Caenorhabditis elegans: one gene and its partners. The protein of the gene in region 3 purifies or fractionates together with the protein of the main gene of each other region. This does not show direct contact. Each region holds a gene or a part of one and is shown on either strand. Other genes may lie near its edges.

Region 1 (5,750 bases), on a different chromosome or scaffold from region 3:
AACGATCTTATTTCGCTGCTGGAATTCTCGCTAATCTTCTGACCAACACTGATGGTTGGGAGAGTGAAAATCAACGTGACGAAGCTTGCGAAAAGCTCTTGGAGCTTATTGAGCAGTATCCCACACTTCCATCGGCAATGGTCTCCTACAAATCTTTCATTCCATTCAGTCGTATTGTTAGAGAGTCAAATTCGAATGGGGCCATCATGTGGTGTTTGTGGGGAGTTCATCACGTTCTTCAACATCGCGAGAAGAACAAAGCGCCTACGTATGAGAAAGGGTACGTTTTTGATTTACTTTTTTCTTAATTTCAAAAATCATTTCAAAACATTTTCAGATACATCGAAATGTTTATGGATTCCGGGCTTTCTCCAATCGTCGAGGATATGTCCCATGGACACTCGAAACACATTCACAATCTGGATATTCGTGTGGTTCATCTCGCACGAGAAATCATTGACATTGTCTCATGCCATTCACTATCTTCCAGCCCAGTTCGATTAGTCCGTCGAGTTTAGTCATTTTTTTGTTTATTTTTTTTATTATTATTTTTGTTTAGCTTTCCCATTTTCAAAGTCCCCATCTACAGGTATATCAAATTGAAACAAGTTATATTTATACGGGTTGATATTTTTATCCGTTTCACCCATAGCAATTAGATTGCATTAAAAACTAAATTAGATGTTTGGTTTCACTATTTTTCACTTCTCCCTGTAATATGTTGAACTGTGAATGTGATTACTTCTGTGGATATTTCATCGGTTGTTTCCATTTCTTTTTCTGTACCCATCCCTACTCACAAATTTGCTCGTCCCACTTTCTTTCGCGGGTATTTTTTCGGGAGTACCATTTCCTCCTTTATGTTTGAAATAGTTGTATATTTTCAGATTCTATTGTGAATGAAAACGTTGAAGCTCTGAAATTTGGTTTATTACTTGAGAAATTTAGAGATCATGCAACAGAAAACAATATAAAATCGGAAATACTGAAAACCAACACAGAAAAGATTTTTGACAAATTCATCACAGTGTTTAATCATTAATTACATGGAAAGTTACGGAATTCCGGGAATATTGAGATCTTTTCGTCTGTCGCGATCTTCATATTTTGCTTCTTCAATAACATCCGAGTGACTTCTCGGTGGAGCCAATCCAGACCTGTCATATCCCCAGTACTGACCAATCCGACGAGGATCTTGACCCGGTGGAAATGATGGAGGTTTTGAGTCTTCTTCTACAAAGCATTCTTCTTCCATTTTCTCTGATACTTTTCCAACTTCATATTCAATTGAAGATTTTGATGATTTTTGTAGTCGTTCATTTTCTTCGATTTGCTCAATTTCGTCGAGCCTGATTCCAACAATATTTTGCATTTGAACTGATGGTGCTCCACGAATCATTCTCAAACATGCCAGCGTTTCTTTTTCAATAGAAGCCAAATATGCCGCAGAATTAGCATCATTCATTTTTGGAACCAAATTTGGGCGAAGAAGTCGTGGAGTGAAATAGTGCGAGTATAATGATGTTCCAGGGATTTCATCGTCCATTCGAAGACCTAAAATGACTCCAGTTTCAAGGGCCCAGCATCTCGCAACATTTCTAAGTGTATATCCACCACCACCAAGGACCATCAATGGTTTTCCAAGACTTTTCACGTATTTGACTGCGCGTGCATGTGCATTGAATCTTAATATGTTTAGATTTAATTAAAATATTTAGATTGCAAAAAAGTAATTTTAAAACTTACGACAAAGCAAATTGACCAAGTCTGTCTTCACACAATGAATCGGAACCACATTGAAGAACAATTGCCTCAGGATTAAAATTTTCTTCAACGCCACTTATAACACTCTCGAATAATTTTAAGTAAGGTTCATCTCGAATTGCAGCCATCAGGGGAACATTAATCGCAAAATACTTTCCGGGACCGACACCTTTGTCCATAATACTTCCAGATCCTGGGAAATATTGACCAAAACGATGAAATGACACAGTCATAACTCGATCAGAATTATTGAATGCTTCCTGAACACCATCACCATGATGAATGTCAATGTCGATATACAATACTCGTTTGTGATATTTCAATAACTCCAAAATTCCCAGCACAATGTCGTTTACATAGCAAAATCCTGAAGCTTCTGATTTCTTGGCGTGATGAAGTCCTCCAGGCCAATTAATCACAATATCATTCATTTTATGATTCAATCGTCGAGCACCTTCAACAGATCCACCAGCATACAAAGTACAGTAATCCCAAAGTCCAGCGAAAATTGGACAATCCTCTCCAATGTTAAACTGCCTCAAAACGTCATCAGGCATTGTAAGACCGAGCTTCGGTGTCACTGTTTGCAGAAAGTTGACGTAATCTTCAGTGTGAAATACAGAAATATCTGCAGCATCTAACTTTGGTGATTCAACAACTGTCATATATTTTGGCATTTCATAGGAAACTACTAAATCGTTGCACACCACAAGCCGTTGAGGTTTCATTGGATGAAGTTGGCCTGAAAAGTAAAACATTTTGCCTATTTCAGATTCAAATAAATACCATAATGAAAATGTCCGACGTCTTTATGATAATAATATGCAACATTTCTTTTTTTAACATCAGCTCCATCTGGCTCGATTATCTCATCATTATCATCGAACAGTGTATCTAGTTTGAACTTGTCTGATGACATATTTTTGCCAATTTTCTGAACAACTTTTGTTATTTCACTGTCGAATGTTGATCGTTGCATAAAGTATGATATAAAGACAAAAAACTTAGATGCTGATTATTTAATCAATGAGTATGAATAGTTCATTATATTGAAAAGAGTTTGAAAGTTGCGTTTGTAGTTCAGTAATACATGGGAAAAGAAATGTAGACTGATTTGACAAAAAAAAACGAATTTCAAGATGAAAAACGTACATAGCCACTTGTTTGGTGCAGAATACGAAATTAGAGTTTTGAACGACAAGTGATAAATGATGGGGAAAAGGGAGGGTGATGTGGAAGATCTTTTCAGTTTCTTGAAGGTAAAGACAACCGCGTTGGAATATATTAAATACAAAAAGGTTATGAATTGGTGAGACGGAATAAAAAACGGAGTTGGAGATAGGATGGAGAGAGAGAGGAAAGGAACGACCCGTTTATGTTCCGATTTTCACCATTAAATTTTGAAGAGAATGTAGATTAAAGTTGTAAATTGATTGGAAATTTTTGGAATTTGGAACTATTTTCTGAAAATAATCAGCAGTTCTGTTTATGGTACAAAGTATTGAAAAATATAAGACCGGTGGCATTGCCCGCTACGATCGTTTGGATGAATGTAGACACAAAAAAGTGAAACAAATAAGAGGAGAAGGGCACAAGGATGAAAAACAATGATAACAAGAAGAAAACGATTATGTTTGAAAAGTAGTTAGATTCCAGCTCCAGCACGAACTGGAGTAGTCTGCACGAGAGGAGATGGCTGGCTGGGAATGTGTTGTTGAATTGGCTGATGACGGTGGGGGCTAGATCCAGCTGTGAATTGCGGACTTGTTGGTGTCTGAAATCAGAATTGTACATTTGTGAAATACGAAATCATTTTTTTTACCTTTTCGTTAAGTGACGAGAAATTGAGCATTCTATTAATGTGAACTGTCGGTTTATTGCTAACAGAGGTCGACTCTTTCATCGGAGCTGATGCTACAGAAGAAGTTGGTGAGTCAGGTACTGTTGGCAATTGTGAAGAGCTTCCAGCCATTGATGATAGAGATGCTGATGACGGAACCTCCGAAAGCATTTTTTGTTGTTCTTCTTCTGCAGCAGGAGCTTGATGTAGTTCAGAAAGAAGTTGTGAGAGAGCATGTGCACTTTCCAATCGAGATAGAGCCAGCCAGCAAATGTGTGATTCGTGCCGTCGGAGTTTTCTGAAAAATTTGGAGTTCATAAATAAATATAGATTGAAAGAAATTCTCACTGTCGTCCTTCAGCTGAATATCTTGCAAGATTTCTCAAAATAAGACAGGATGTTAGACGAATACTCTTTGTCACTGGTCCTTCTGCTTCATCCGTGAGTTCTCGAGACAAGAAATTGAAAGCGTGTCTTCGGATGGCATCGAACGCGGCATTTTTCGCGTAACCAGGATGATTATTGATATCACGGGAGATAACTTCAGCACGCGGTGCTCCACGAACTGGAGCAATTCCACCACCTTCCTTTCTTTTTTGTGAAGCCGCTTTTAATTGAGCTTCATTACAGTGCGAATCCTGGATATGAGTAATCAGTGACCAACGATTACGAGGTGTTGGATCAGCACATCCGTTCCAGCGACACAGTAATCTTAGCTCCTCTGCGACGTGCTCTTCCGACAAATGTTTGAGCACGTGTGATGGAGAAGCATAATAAATGGAACAACAATCCCAATCACACATATAATCGGTAGGATTCGAAGATGGAGGAACACATTTTCGTTTTTCTGATTCTTGGGCATCATCCACAACCTCCGTTTCAACCACTTCTTTGTTTTTTTCTTCATTTGTTTCTTCTTCTACCTTTTCTGTTTCTTTCTCGATTTCCTTCTCGATATCATTTCCATTGCTAACCACGTTCATTCTCTCTAAATCTCCGTTGCAGGCAGCTGCTACAGCAACAATATGAGCAGCTCTGCTTGCCATTGACTCTTTTTTCACTTTCGAGTTACCATTGCAGATGATTCCGTTGATTTTCTCCGATTCCAATTTAACATTATCCGTGTCATTCTGAAAAATTGAAATTTCAAGGCAATTATAGATGGAGAATGGAAAGTTTGCCCCAAAAATACGGTACCTGGTATATGTTCCTTCAATGATTACTGTAATTTCAAATTTTTGTTGTTGCGGAATTTTCTTCTACTTTTCCAAGTTTCAAAGCCATGAAAAATCAACGAAAATTCCGCAGCAACAAAACTTTGAAATTACAGTAATCTTTAAAAGCGCACACCTTTTCGCCTTTAACATAAATGTGTCGCGTCGAGACCAGGTATCTTATTTTTTGCGTAAAATCTCGCGTATGGGTAATAAATCAACTTTGAAAACAAAATTTAAACAAAAATATGGACAGAAAATTATTAAATTAAGAAGAACAAAACAATGACACACCACAAACTGCTCGCGAATCTCGATCGACACTTCGCTTCCTTCAATCTGATTAGCGTAATTTTCATCGAACAGCTTTGAAGCTTGGATTGGTTCTTGGCACACTTCCACGGTTCCATTGGTGATAGATTTCTAAAGGAAACAGAGAAGCATATAAAATTAGAAGATTGTTTCATGCGAAAACCCCATGCAATTCGAGAATTTAGAAAATAAAAATTACCTTCTCTGGGGTCACTATTTTTGAATTCAGCTCCACTTCATCGGTTTCTTCTCCATTTATATCATTTTGTTTTTTCGGAACACTTTGCTCCTGTGATTCAATTAACACGGACGGCTCGTCTGTTCTGATTGGCTCGGTTTTGATAATTCGTTCAGCGCCAGATTCTTGTCTGAAAATTATCGCTTTAATTAGATTTTTTGACAATTATCTTTCAATTATGATTCAAATATTTATAAACTTACACAGCGTGCCCATTAATCAAGACGCCATTTTCTTCTTTGGGTTCTGACGTGAGCATTTTTTTCATTAAAGGATGTGATTCACTTGCAGACTGAGAAGCGGCTGGAGCAAGTCGATGCGGACGAATAAGTCGAATACCTTGAGCCACTATCATTATTCCATTTTGAGCCATTCGGAAATT
Region 2 (6,484 bases), on a different chromosome or scaffold from region 3:
TTAAGTGTCCGCACACAAAAAAAATTCAAATGTCCCGCCGATCGCATATTGCAAACGCGCCCCAGTGAGAAAATTGAATACTTTTCTCATTAGGGCGCGTTTGATGCATGTGATCGTGGGAAATTCTCATTTTTCAACAAGTTTTCAGATTTTTCTTGGAAAATTGCAGAAAAAATGTGCTTCCTGTGTGTGTGTGTCTCCCCAGGGCGGGAATTCAATTTTCTTAGAAAATAGGTAATCAAGTCTTTCACTCAATTTCGTTGGGCGACAGAGATCAAAAACAACAAAAAAAAGTTGTATTTTTTCAAAAATTGTGTTTCTCTCTGTGTGTTGTTGACACACAGCCGGGGCAGGCAGGCAGGTGATTAAAAAAAAGTAAATTGGCAAAATGGGAGGGCGCACATATTTTTAATGCAAAACGTCCAAAAATAGTGATGACGACGAGGGGTGGTGGGGCCTTGAAATAAAAAAAAATGAAGTAAAACTTTTTTTTTTGGGCATAAAAAAATGAAACTGGCTTGTAAAAAATGAGAAAAACGGCCCGACGACGGGAGGAAAATCCTATTAGCGTCGGTCGTCCCTATCGGCATGGGCTCACCCGTTTTTTGTGCAATGCACAATTGCACAAGAGCACGTACACTTGTGCATAAGGAAGAGTTCACCAGGAAGAAAATACCATTGAGAAAATTGATAAGAAGAACTATCGAATTTTTTTCTGATCAATTGTTCAATTTTCAGAAATTTTGTGTGCCAAAATTTCGAAAAATTGAATTTTTGCGAATTTCGACTCTGAAAAATCGTAAATCGATCAATTTTCCAGGTGAGACGTGGTCTGGGAAGCTGGAATTTTTTGACACCACGAGCACGTGAAAAACCGAGGAACAAATCGGTATGGTCCAGACTTTCCCATAACGGTTTGACCTACAAAAATGCGGGATTTTTTGGCCTAAAAAATGTGACGTCCGCATGTTCTTAGCCATGCAAAATAAGTTGAAAAGTCTGCGTCCAATTTCCCGCGCATTCTGGTAGATCAACGTAGATCAAACCGACATGGGACACACCTGGCACCACGTGATGGTCGAGTTTTCACTGTTCGGAAATCTTTGAGCTATGGGAAAAAGTAACAATTTATAGGAAGATTGGGTCAAATCTCATCCTTTTTCTGCCAAAATATCGGAAAAATTGAATTTCTGCGATCTTTAACAGGAAAAAAATGGCAATTTAGATGTATTTTCTATTCAGAAAGCTCAAATTTTTCTAGACTTTTCACCGGGAAGCAGGTGTAAACCGAAAAGCAAAAGAAATTGTTCGGTTATTCTATAAACTCCGTGAAGTGGCCGAGATTTTTCGGCTCGTGGCCGCCGCCTTTTTCTGCCAAAATTTCGAATTTTTGCGAATTTTGGCATTTTTAGTAATGGCCGAGTTTTCACTGTTTCGAAAGCTTTGAGCTGTGGGGAACAACATGACGTCAGTTCGGCCGATAGGGATTGATAAGAGAATTACTTTTTTTTTTTCATAAAAAAATATATCAATTTTCAGATCAATCGATCAATTTGCAGTTATTTTTTTGTCGGAAAATAGAAAAATCTACGTGGATTTAGTAGCAAACACGCTCCAATGAGAAAAAATGCCTAACTTTCTCAGTGGGGCGCGTATGCGGTGAAGGCGAAATTCGAATTTTCAGATGAGAATCGATTTTCTTCCGTGATTCTGGGCGAAATTTCGAGGAAAAATCCATTATTAGACTATTGAAATTGTCAATTTTAAAAACTGAAAAGCCATCGGAAATCCAAGCTTTCGCCTAAAAATTTCAGATTTTCGGTAATCCTGATGTCTTGCTCAAATGTCGATGATTTTTCTAATTTTAGAGCTGAACTTCTGAAATTTCTACCGTAATCTGGGATTTAGCCCCCACTAGGTCGCATTTTAAGGCGAAAAAATGCCAATCAAATTCCAATTCTCCAAGTTTTCGGTCCGCCAAAAACTCACATAAATCCTGGGTGGCTGCTGCTTCATCATCTTTTCATACTCAGACACTTCCACACATTTCAGCACGGAATATAGGACTAGAAATACGGAAAACTCTTCACCACCAGGTCTGCTATCACCAGGCTCAATTTGTTGTGATAAGAGGAATTTCGTCAAGTCGACATGAACATGATCATTACGCGACCCCCATGGAGCCATCAAACAACAGTTGGTGTCGTATTGCAGGCGTCCTGTGGAGAGAGCCGAGCAGCAGAATTGGCGGAGAGCTCCGGAGCGGGAAATTGGAAAAATATGTGTTGAAAAACTCGGAACAACCAGCAGAATAGTCGGAAGAGTCTAGGCAATAATTCGGAAGAATTTTCCATTTGGAGCACCAAAAACCCCGGAAAAACCGCAGAAAATCCAGAAAATCGACAATCGGCTCCTCCGTAAATCCACACAAAGTGACAATGATCTCTGGTCACGAAAATCTAGAAGTTCAGACAAAATCTAGCAAAAATCCGAGGATTTCAACCGGAAATGTGTAAAAAATGTCAAAGTTGATACCATTTCTGTGCACAAAAAACCTGAAAATTTTGAAAATCTGGCTGAAATTGGTGAAAATCACCAAAAGTTTCGCCCGTAAGTCGACATAGGCATCAGTAAATCTACACAGATTTTTGAAATTTTCAATTTAGAAAACTGCATTTATGGTATAAACTCAAATCAAATGTTGAGTTCGCCAAATTGAAAAAAAACTCTCGTAAATCGACACAGGCCCCCGTAAATATACACGGAGCTGCGGAAAACACCAAATAATCCTGGAAAGATTTTGCAAAATTGAAGGATTTCATTCCAAAACTAGTCGAATTTCAGTAAAATTTCGGAAAATGTTATCCCGTAAATCGACACTGAACCCCTGTAAATCGACATTAAAGCCTCGTAAATCGACATTACAGCCCTCGTAAATCGACACTGAACTCCCGTAAATCGACATTACAGTCTCGTAAATCGACACCGAACCCCCGTAAATCGACATTACAGCCCTCGTAAATCGACACTGAACTCCCGTAAATCGACATTACAGTCTCGTAAATCGACACTGAACCCCCGTAAATCGACATTACAGTCTCGTAAATCGACACTGAACCCCCGTAAATCGACATTACAGTCTCGTAAATCGACACTGAACCCCCGTAAATCCACATTACAGTCTTGTAAATCGACACTGAACCCCCGTAAATCGACATTACAGTCTCGTAAATCGACACTGAACCCCCGTAAATCCACATAGGTCTTTACAAAGTCCTGAGCACATTATGACCGAATAACTCGGGATTTTTAGGCCAAATTTATCAAAATTATATCATTTTTGCCCATTTTCCCGCATATTTTCCCCCAAAATCCCCGTAAATCTACACAAAGGTAAATTTTAATCATTTTTCAGCGATTTTTCCTGCAAAAAAACCTCCCACAAAACTCTAACCTGATTCCCATTCGGCTGATCAGACGGCTTACGAAGTTTGGAGAAGAATCCACGGATTCCACCTCCACCACCACCTGGAGCACCACCACCGGCTCCACCACTGGCTCCTCCGCCACCACCACCACCGCCGCTCGACGGACGGCTCCCAGAGCTCATTTCCAGTTGATTTTCCGCTGGTCGCTTTATTGTTTTATCGATTAATTTTCGGATTGTGAGTGGATGTGGTGGATGGCGGGCGTCGGAGGTATCACCTTTTGATCTGTAAAAGTATTTATTTATTGATTTTTTTGAGCGGAGCGGGGAGGAAAAAACGGAAAAAAATGCGGAAAAGTGAGAGAGAAATCGAGAGGAAATTCAAATTTTCAGCGAAAAAATGCAGTTTTTTCGATAAATTTCCGAAAATGTTCACACGAAATTTGAGTTTTTGCGAAAAAAACATCATTTTTGAAGAAAATTCGGCAATTTTTGCTCAAATTTTCAGAAAAAAAAGGAATTTTCTGCGCATGTTTACGTGGAATTTTTTAAAAAATTCGGTGCATTTTTTTTTGAGAAAACCACTAATTTTCAGGGAATTATATCAGAAAAATCTAAGACAACTCAATTTTCAGCGGAAAAAATGTCGTTTTTCTCTATATTTTTACACGAAATTCGAGAATTTTTGTGATTTTTCCGAACAAATATTTTCCACAAAATGCAAAAAATTCGTCATTTTTTAACCACCAAATTTACAGGAAAAAATTGGAAAAACGGGGCATTTTTTGAGTAAACCACAAATTTTCCGGGAATTTTATGAAAAAAAATCTAAGAAAAGCCAATTTTCAGGAGAAACCTCGTGCAAAATTTCAAGAAAAACCGACTTTCACCGAAAAAGCAAATTTTTCACAAGAAATTCGATTTTTAAATCAAAATCCTGACAAAATATACAAAATTGCCGATTTTTCAGCTTAATCCAAGTGGATTGTGGTTTTTCACGCAATTTTTCAGAAAAAAAACGCGAAATTCTCAGATTTTGCGGGTAGTTTTCACAGAAAAACCGACTTTTAGAGGAGAAAATTTGAAAAAAAATGTAAAAAAAAGAAAAAATCCAATCGAAATCCATCCGTCTCCGCCACATCTTCATCAGCATCTCCCTGCAAAATTAAATAATAAATAAACAGAATTTTCTACGATAAAAATTCTTTAAAAAAAAAAGAAAAATTGCAATTTCACGACGAAGACACTCACCCGCATTTTGACGACCCGCGTATTTCAAAGAATCGCCGAGTCGAATTGGAGCATGTCGCCGGCTCTCAACGCATGTTTCAGGTCTGCAAATTGGCACAGGAAATTGCATTGAATTCGAAGAAAAGAAAAGAGGGGAGTGTTGTAGAAACTCACATGAAAGACGCTTTTTTCGTCCGGGGCCGAGCAGTTCGACGAGCTTTTGCGCGAAAATCTTCACATTTTGCTCGCCGCTATTGTATTTCTTGATAATTTCGCGAAAATGTGGAACTTCTTCGGGGCGGAGACAAGAGAGAACCTGAAAAAAAAGGAAAAAATGATGAGAAAATTGATAAATTTCGATTTAAATTTCATTAAACTCGCGTGTGACGAAAGTACGCAAACACGGATGGAGAAAAATGCGGATCGAGCGCAGAATCTTACGACATGTGTGAAAATAATATATTTTTAAACTCTCATTTTCAGGCAAAAACTCCATGAATTCCAACAATAAAACTGAATTTTAGGAGAAAAATTGAGAAATAAAATTAAAATAAAATTAAATATTTTGCAACAGAAAAATTATGTGAAAATTGATTTTTACCGGTTTTTGACGGCAAAAGTCGAATATTTCAAATTTTCAGCGAAAAAAAGCCAAAAAGGGAGATTTTTAGAACACAATTTTTGTAAAAAATGCTATAAAACCACAAGCTTGTAGGGAAACATGAAAATGTTCGGTTTTTTTTTGCGGAATCTTCAGCAAAAGAAATCCCAGAATTTTTCGAATTTTCTTAGTTTGGACTTTAAAAAATCTGACTTAACATAACTTCAGTTTTCTGTTTGATAATTCACATTTCGAAAAAAAAATTTCTTTTCTTCTTTAAAATTCATCATTTCTATACGAAATGTTTTTCAAAAAAAAAAAAAGAAAAGAAACTCCCATTAATTTTGAATGCGGTGCTCTTGAAAATGTCAGATTTTTTTTGGATTTCAAGGAGAAAAAACTAAAAATAAACCAAGCAATTTCCCAATAAATAAACTTTTTAGAATGACGTCAGAGGGCAAAAATTGTAAAATTTTTAAGGGATTTTGGGGCATTTTGTTGGGCAAATCAGTTTAAAATGGTAGAATTTTATTATCAGAAATATGATGCATCGACGTTTTGGGGAACTTTAGAACAATTGCACGTGGTGCCAGGCTGTCCCATTAATTTTGTAGATCAAAACGTATTACGTTTTGATCTACAAAAAATGCGGGAATTTTTTCACCGAAAAATTGTGACGTCGGCACCTTCTTATCCATACGAAATCAGTTGAGAACTCTGCCGCATTTTTTGTAGATCAACGTAGATCAAGCCGAAATGAGACACTCTGACACCACGTGGTAATTGGGGCAAAAAATCAAGTTTTTTTCACCATCGATGCACCATGTTTTCGATTTTCTGCGTGGCCGAGTTTCTGAAAACTAGGCCACGTTCACAAGAAAGCTAGGCAGCTCGGAACCCATAAAACATGGCGGATCAACCCAAAAATTTGAAAAAAAAAACCCGAATTTTTACACAGTAAACATGCAGTTTCTCTGGGGAAAGTTTACAAAAAAAACGGGGTTTGTGGGGTCTTATCCTTTTCCTTATCACCTTATCACTGTCCGCCGTCGCCGCCACAAAAACAAGTGATAACTTCATTTTCGAGCGGGGGGGGGGCAAAGGCGAAATGTTGCAGTAGTGCCTGCCCTCAGGCCAAAAATGAAAGAAGAGAGAGAGAGAAGAAGCAGCTAGTGGGAAGAAAAGTAGAGAGAGAGAGAGAAAGAATGTCCTCTCTCCACACTAAT
Region 3 (5,828 bases):
GTTAAAATAACACAATATCCGATTCCTTTGAACAACGGACATATTCTTCCCCAAGTTGTGATTGCTCCTTTTCTATAATACTGGCCGAGGCACAACTCCATGTAGAATAGTGGAACTCCTGTCAACAGGACCATTATAGAATAAGGAATCAGAAATACTCCTCCTCCATTTTTGAAGCAAAGATATGGAAATCGCCATATATTTCCCAAATCTACAGCAAACCCGACAACTGAGAGAAGGAAGTCCAGCTGAAAAGATGGGTTCATATGTAGAATTACAGGCAAGATGGATCTTACCTTTCCAGACCACTGTTCTCTTGCTGGATCTTTGGGTTCTGTATTAACTGGTCCATCAATAGGAAGAGTTGCATTTTGCATGCCATTAGACGTCCGACCGATTTTTTCGTCGGGATCGTCTGAAGATTTGATTTTAACTTTAGTTAGAAGTCACCGACTAATTTTTAATCTAATGTTAAACCCTGTGAAGAATTATAAAACTTAAAAAAAAATTTTAATGGTAAGTTATACTATACCCAGAGTGTTACGTTGGTCTCTAAGGATGAGAACTTTAGCCGCGGGTCTCGCCACGCGGAGAACGAATTACTGTAACTCATGTCAATTTGCAGACCGCTATTGTATCATATTCTTTGTTTGCGTGGCGAGACCCATGTGCGTAAGATTTGGCGAAGATTCTCATCTTGAGGCGTCTACGTAATAACAATTTCAGAAAGATAGCTTTGTTTTATAACGAAAGTCTACAGATAAATAAGAGTCGGGCAAAAAACGAAATACCTGTAGGCACCAACTGCATGGCTAAAAATTGTTGAGATTCGAGTAAACCGTAGCGGGATCAGCTTTTCGACTAATTTGGAATATGGACCTGAAAACACATGAATCTAGTATAGTTTTAAGATATTTAAAAATAAAATCAGCTCATTGAGCCCGTAGCTATCCACTTTTCTTGTCAGAACAAAAAAACCGAAAGAATGGGAAGAGGTAGAGATTGCCTTGGAATCTAGATGTGGTGGCATGTCGAATATTCCGGTGTATGTGTGCCAGCCTCAATATCATCGTCGTTTTTCTTCCAAATTCTGCTTCTGAATCATGTCGGCGTCTCCTAACGACGCAGTCTCAGTTGGTGAAGACTACGGTGCGGTGGATAATTGCCGGAAAGCATCTATCTACTTATACTTCTTTTCTTCTTTTTCTACATTTATCCGAGCTATGTGTATATGTTTGTGCGATTATATCTGCTTCAAAGGGGTCATACTGGAATAGGCATGGATTTATTGTTTTTAGAGAAAAGGACAGGAAAAGATTTGGGAAAAGGGCATTGGTGTGTACATATGATCCCAAAGTTGCTCAATAGAGCACTTTTGCACGCGGGTATCGGAATTTAAGAATGCATAATATTTGAAAGAAATGAAACTAGCGAAGCTAATGATAATGTCATAGATATTTTGAGGATACGAGAGAAAGTGTATGAGGTCGTTTTAGTGAAAACTGGATTCAAGTTCCATTTCATGGATTTCAGAAAAGTATTCAGAATTGGGAATGTGCTTTAAAATACAAAAACGACTAGAAACATTTCAGAGATAATTATTCGGTTGTGTGGGCAGAAAGACTTTGTACTTCTCGTAGGTTGATGCCGCTTTTTGGCGAATTTTTGATAGCAGTGGCTCGGAGATGAGGAATGAGACGTTGAGGACATCTTGGCTGAAATAAAAATGCTAAATTTTCAAAAATTTATAGAACTCTCTGAATATTCTCACAATTTTCTCGTGGACAATCGCTCTAATTTTAATTGCTATCTTTTTACGGACTTTTTTTTATTATCAACCAATTTTTCTCTCATTTCTAGATATTTTCTACTTCTTTTCTACCTGTTTCGTTGTAATCTGTTATTTTTGATCGGTAGGTGAGGGAAGTGCTGCTCGGCGAAGCGCGATGCGATTTAGAGCAATAATTATTTTTCGGAGAGTTTTGTTGGAGTAGGATAATCATTTCCTTTATATTTTTCTTTGGTTTTCTCTTTTAAATTTGTAGAAAAAACTTACAAGTAAGTGGAGGGAACTAGCTGACGAGCATCTTCTGCAACCAGAAGATAGCATCTACCGGGTGCCCTGATGAGAAGATTTTGCTCATGTAGAATATTTTTGTCATCTTCATCGCAGGAATACTAAAACGGTAGAACAGTTTTTGAAAATTGCCGATTTCCAGTTACTTACTCTAAACATTCGTGGATACTTGTTGAACAGAATCGACGGGGGCATTCCCATCACTTGCGCAATTTTTGTCGCCGTTATAAAACGGGTGTTCACATCGATTCTGTCCGGATTCCACCGAATGACTTCGTTCATTGTCGGTGGCGTCATTTCTAGTCGATATGCTTCTTCATCTTTACGTGGACGACCTCGTCGTCTTTTAGCATCGGAGCAGTGGCTGACTCCAGACACGTCTGAGCTATCCGATTCGTATCCTCTCTGAAAATATCAGCATTTTTGATATACTTTGTTTTGTATTTTTTAACCACGCCGTAGTGATTAAAGTTTTGAAATCGTCGCCAAAATTTGCTTTAATTACTTCCGTTGTATCTATTAAAATAGTTTTGAAAGGTCCTTTTTTGAAAACAGTCGGCGAAAATTTTCCAGATATTTTCTAGAATTGAAAAATATAGTTTTTCATTCTTTATTCGATTTGAGATTTGAATTACCTTTAAATTATTCTCATGTTCTTGACTGTTGATATCAAGGAACCCATTTCCATTTGTACAAATCGGTGGCATAGGCTCCGGATCTTTTTGATATGGCTTCTTTGCAGCCTCCAAAATGTTACAGTACAAACCATTCAAAACTGATTCGTCAACAACATGCCCATTTTTGCGGAGATTTTCGATAGCTGGTAATAGCGTTGTTCTAGTATGCCTCTCCATAATCTGATGGATTTCTCTCGATATTTCCGCTTGGAAAATCTGAATAATTTTCATTTTAATTACTTGAAACATTAACAGTCCATACCCGTCTCATTAGATCCAACGAAGATGGTGCATCGTCTGCCATATCCATTTTGTTCCTTTTTATCACGTGCTTCAATGAATTTACCTGAAATTTTCCCAATTTCTTTTTCCGGTGTGAGTTTTTTGTTGCTTTTTTAGCAAAATTTAACTCTTTTTCATCCTCCACAAAAAACTCGATTAAAATTCACACTTTTTGCAGGGCAATGTTTAAATTAAATCAGTTGATTGTCATAATGCATCATCCAACACTGTTCACAATTTTTAAAAAGAACTAACTCTTGCTGACGATCCATCGTTGCTTCCATCCATTTCTCTGCTCAACAATTCATCGAGAATCACTATCCTCATATTCATTTTGTTGCCATTCCCATTTCCAGTTTGCCGTTCGAACATTTTCAGTGCTGAAAATTTAAATTTTAAGATTTGAGTGTATATGGGTGACTACGTAGAAAAAAGAGAAGAGGAAATAAAAGTGGCAGTCATGCTAGCTGGCTGGAAAATACTATCGTCTTTTGGATAGACGCAGAAAAGACGCAGCACTCTCTGCGACTCTCCAGGCGGCATGTTTTCCTCATACTCTCTCCCTGACACGCTCTCCCTGCCTTCTCTCAACTCACTTCTCCGTTGGTTTTGCCCATCGCACAGAGTTTGTGGTTTTTGTTTCGCTTTTTTCTCTACTAGTTATGATGTCCATGCTCCCTCTTCTTCCATTTCCTATGTTCACTTTTCTCCGAAGGTGGTAGATTGAGAGTAGTAGCTTGATAAGATCAAAGACATTGGTCAGTTTTGATAAACCTAATGTTTGTTTTTCTATTTCGTGGTGAGAGGAAAGAGACAAATCGGCGATCCGGTTGGAACATTTGGACAAACACTTGTTCGCACTAAACCAATCAATCACACAGTAATCAGTTCGACGGTTCTGTTTTTGTGTCATTTGTTATATTCTTCCGTGTTGCGTATTTTCGATTCTATCTTTGTCAAATAGTATTAAAGTTGTGAAAAAAGTTTAAAAATCTGTTCTTCGAAAACGAAAGCGATCATTCTTTAATTTGTCATCCAGTTTTGATATTGTCCATACTCGAAATCTTGCGTTTCTTACGCTAAAAGAACGGTACTCTTTAAAGGCGCGCACATTCTTGTATTTAACAACATATTTCGTGCCGAGACCGGATACCGTATTTTTAACGCAAAATTACGGAAATTTTGCGTCGGAGTAATATTTAATTCCTATGTTAGCGTAATAGTGAGTCAAGACATTGATTCTGATTATACCTATTTAAATTGTTTCAAATTTTTTACTTCTTATATCTGCTGATGTGAAGCTGTCTAGAATAAAAATGTTTAGTTTGAACGGACTAAATTAGTATAAATCTGATTTATTGAGTGTATATAAAATTTTCTCCTCCTCTTCCTCATGTCATATTCAGAAAGGCCGTCTTTGTTCTTAACCTATAATATGAGCATGCCATGGTGATATCTCTCGAAGCGTACCTGGATATTCTTGAAAACCATTTGCGTCATAGCTAGGCTTTTTTCCAGTAGAGTTCAGCTGTTGCCATTTGGCGTTTGTGTCAACCAGCATCATTTCTGAAATCAAGATTTTCTCTAGCGCTCGAGAAATAATCAAATTTATAAACATCAATATGTCTCTGAATATTTCCAAAACATTTCACACACTCCTCCGATTTGTTCACCACGCTAGCTGTTGTGTTGGCGCGCAAGGAGTTTGCACTACAAATATCCATTTTCAATGATCGCTGTCTGTCTCAAAGCCGCGATGGAAAACCCTCTTTCTCATCGATCTTTTCAAATTATTATTTTCATCTTCGGTTCCGTTCATTTCGAATTCTAGTTGCTCCAAAAAACAATGAGAACCGCCGCGGGTGGGTCCTTCGCAATTCAAGACGGCAGTCGCTTTCGTGGAAGCAGTTTCACTAGGTCTTTATTTTGCACAAACAAAGTGATGGGTTGTTGTTTGTGCTCACGAATACTTTTCTTCCCTTCTTTGTCCCTTCGTGTGACCGATATGTCTGCCTGTCTGGATAGCTGTTTTTCTTATTTTTGTGCTCTGTGTTCATCTAATTTGTGGGGGAGCATGATCCTATTATGATCACTTGATTGTAGTTTTCTGTAGAGGTCTGTAGTGTTTTAATTATTATTGTGGAAAAACTCAGTTTTATTTAAAATATTGGTTAGAATCTGGAAAAAATAATTTAGAGACTCAAAAAAAACTGAAATTGTGTATGAATTTTTCAAATGCATCACTGAAAACATAAGTTCACACTATCAGCTCTAGATATGAAGCCTAGCACCTGTTCTTCACTCGCTCTCTCTCTCTCTCTCTTTCCCTCTGTCTGCATTGATTTTCGAGAAGTCTTTGACCAAGCGCAGCTCATTGAAATTAGGCCCTCTTCTCCTTTGAAAGACTCGTCTTGCTCTGTTCTCTCCTTCCTTCCTGTGCTCATTTTGTGCTTCTCCTCCTCCAGAATTCCCCGTTTCTAATATATACACAAAGTGCCATTTCAAGACCCTCCTGCCCTGTCGTTCTTGCATTTTCCCTCCCGCCCGTCAAGTTGACGGCAACTGCCTTGCATTCCTCTTCTATTTTTTGTGTTGCTTTTTTTCCTTTCTTCCATGCAATCTTCGCACAAATTATTGTTGCATTCTTTTCTACAAAAAAAGTGTTTTTGTGGGACTCAGCAGCCTAAAGCATAAAATTGAACGAAAACCAGGAAATAAAAAAAATGAAAATGGCACATATCGATGTTTTCCGGTCCGTTGAAATTCGAATTCCTTCTTTTTTACACCCACAT

Evidence for each region.
Region 1: the proteins of saeg-2 (region 3) and hda-2 purify together in Caenorhabditis elegans (affinity purification with western blotting, with the first as the bait; one study listed by BioGRID). This does not show direct contact.
Region 2: the proteins of saeg-2 (region 3) and egl-4 purify together in Caenorhabditis elegans (affinity purification with western blotting, with the first as the bait; one study listed by BioGRID). This does not show direct contact.

The regions. Positions count from the first base shown.
Region 1 is NC_003280.10:8,019,864-8,025,613, forward strand, and holds hda-2 (Putative histone deacetylase 2), read right to left. Parts: upstream 2,699-5,750; 5' UTR 2,684-2,698; coding exon 2,551-2,683; intron 2,507-2,550; coding exon 1,747-2,506; intron 1,686-1,746; coding exon 1,055-1,685; 3' UTR 917-1,054; downstream 1-916. Other genes in the region: Early embryogenesis protein zyg-11, read left to right, coding at 1-280, 338-518; SWI/SNF chromatin remodeling complex subunit swsn-7, read right to left, coding at 3,410-3,538, 3,587-3,902, 3,953-4,734, 5,113-5,241, 5,330-5,498, 5,572-5,750. UniProt on the Caenorhabditis elegans protein: Probably responsible for the deacetylation of lysine residues on the N-terminal part of the core histones (H2A, H2B, H3 and H4).
Region 2 is NC_003282.8:1,845,197-1,851,680, reverse strand, and holds the start of egl-4 (cGMP-dependent protein kinase), read right to left. Parts: upstream 3,611-6,484; coding exon 3,455-3,610; intron 2,017-3,454; coding exon of another isoform or gene 1,990-2,016; intron 1-1,989. Other genes in the region: ccm-2 (CCM (Cerebral Cavernous Malformation) gene homolog), read right to left, coding at 4,703-4,761, 4,832-4,973. UniProt on the Caenorhabditis elegans protein: Promotes chemoreceptor gene expression in response to increased cGMP levels by antagonizing the gene repression functions of the class II HDAC hda-4 and the mef-2 transcription factor.
Region 3 is NC_003281.10:9,237,957-9,243,784, reverse strand, and holds saeg-2 (Suppressor of activated egl-4 protein 2), read right to left. Parts: upstream 3,423-5,828; 5' UTR 3,364-3,422; coding exon 3,292-3,363; intron 3,101-3,291; coding exon 3,017-3,100; intron 2,971-3,016; coding exon 2,713-2,970; intron 2,483-2,712; coding exon 2,228-2,482; intron 2,179-2,227; coding exon 2,057-2,178; exon of another isoform or gene 1,992-2,056; intron 1,778-1,991; exon of another isoform or gene 1,716-1,777; coding exon 1,589-1,715; 3' UTR 1,271-1,588; downstream 1-1,270. Other genes in the region: dat-1 (Sodium-dependent dopamine transporter), read right to left, coding at 1-248, 297-415, 792-810. UniProt on the Caenorhabditis elegans protein: As a likely component of a histone deacetylase complex, together with saeg-1 and hda-2, functions downstream of the cAMP-dependent kinase egl-4 to regulate the expression of genes required for egg-laying and foraging.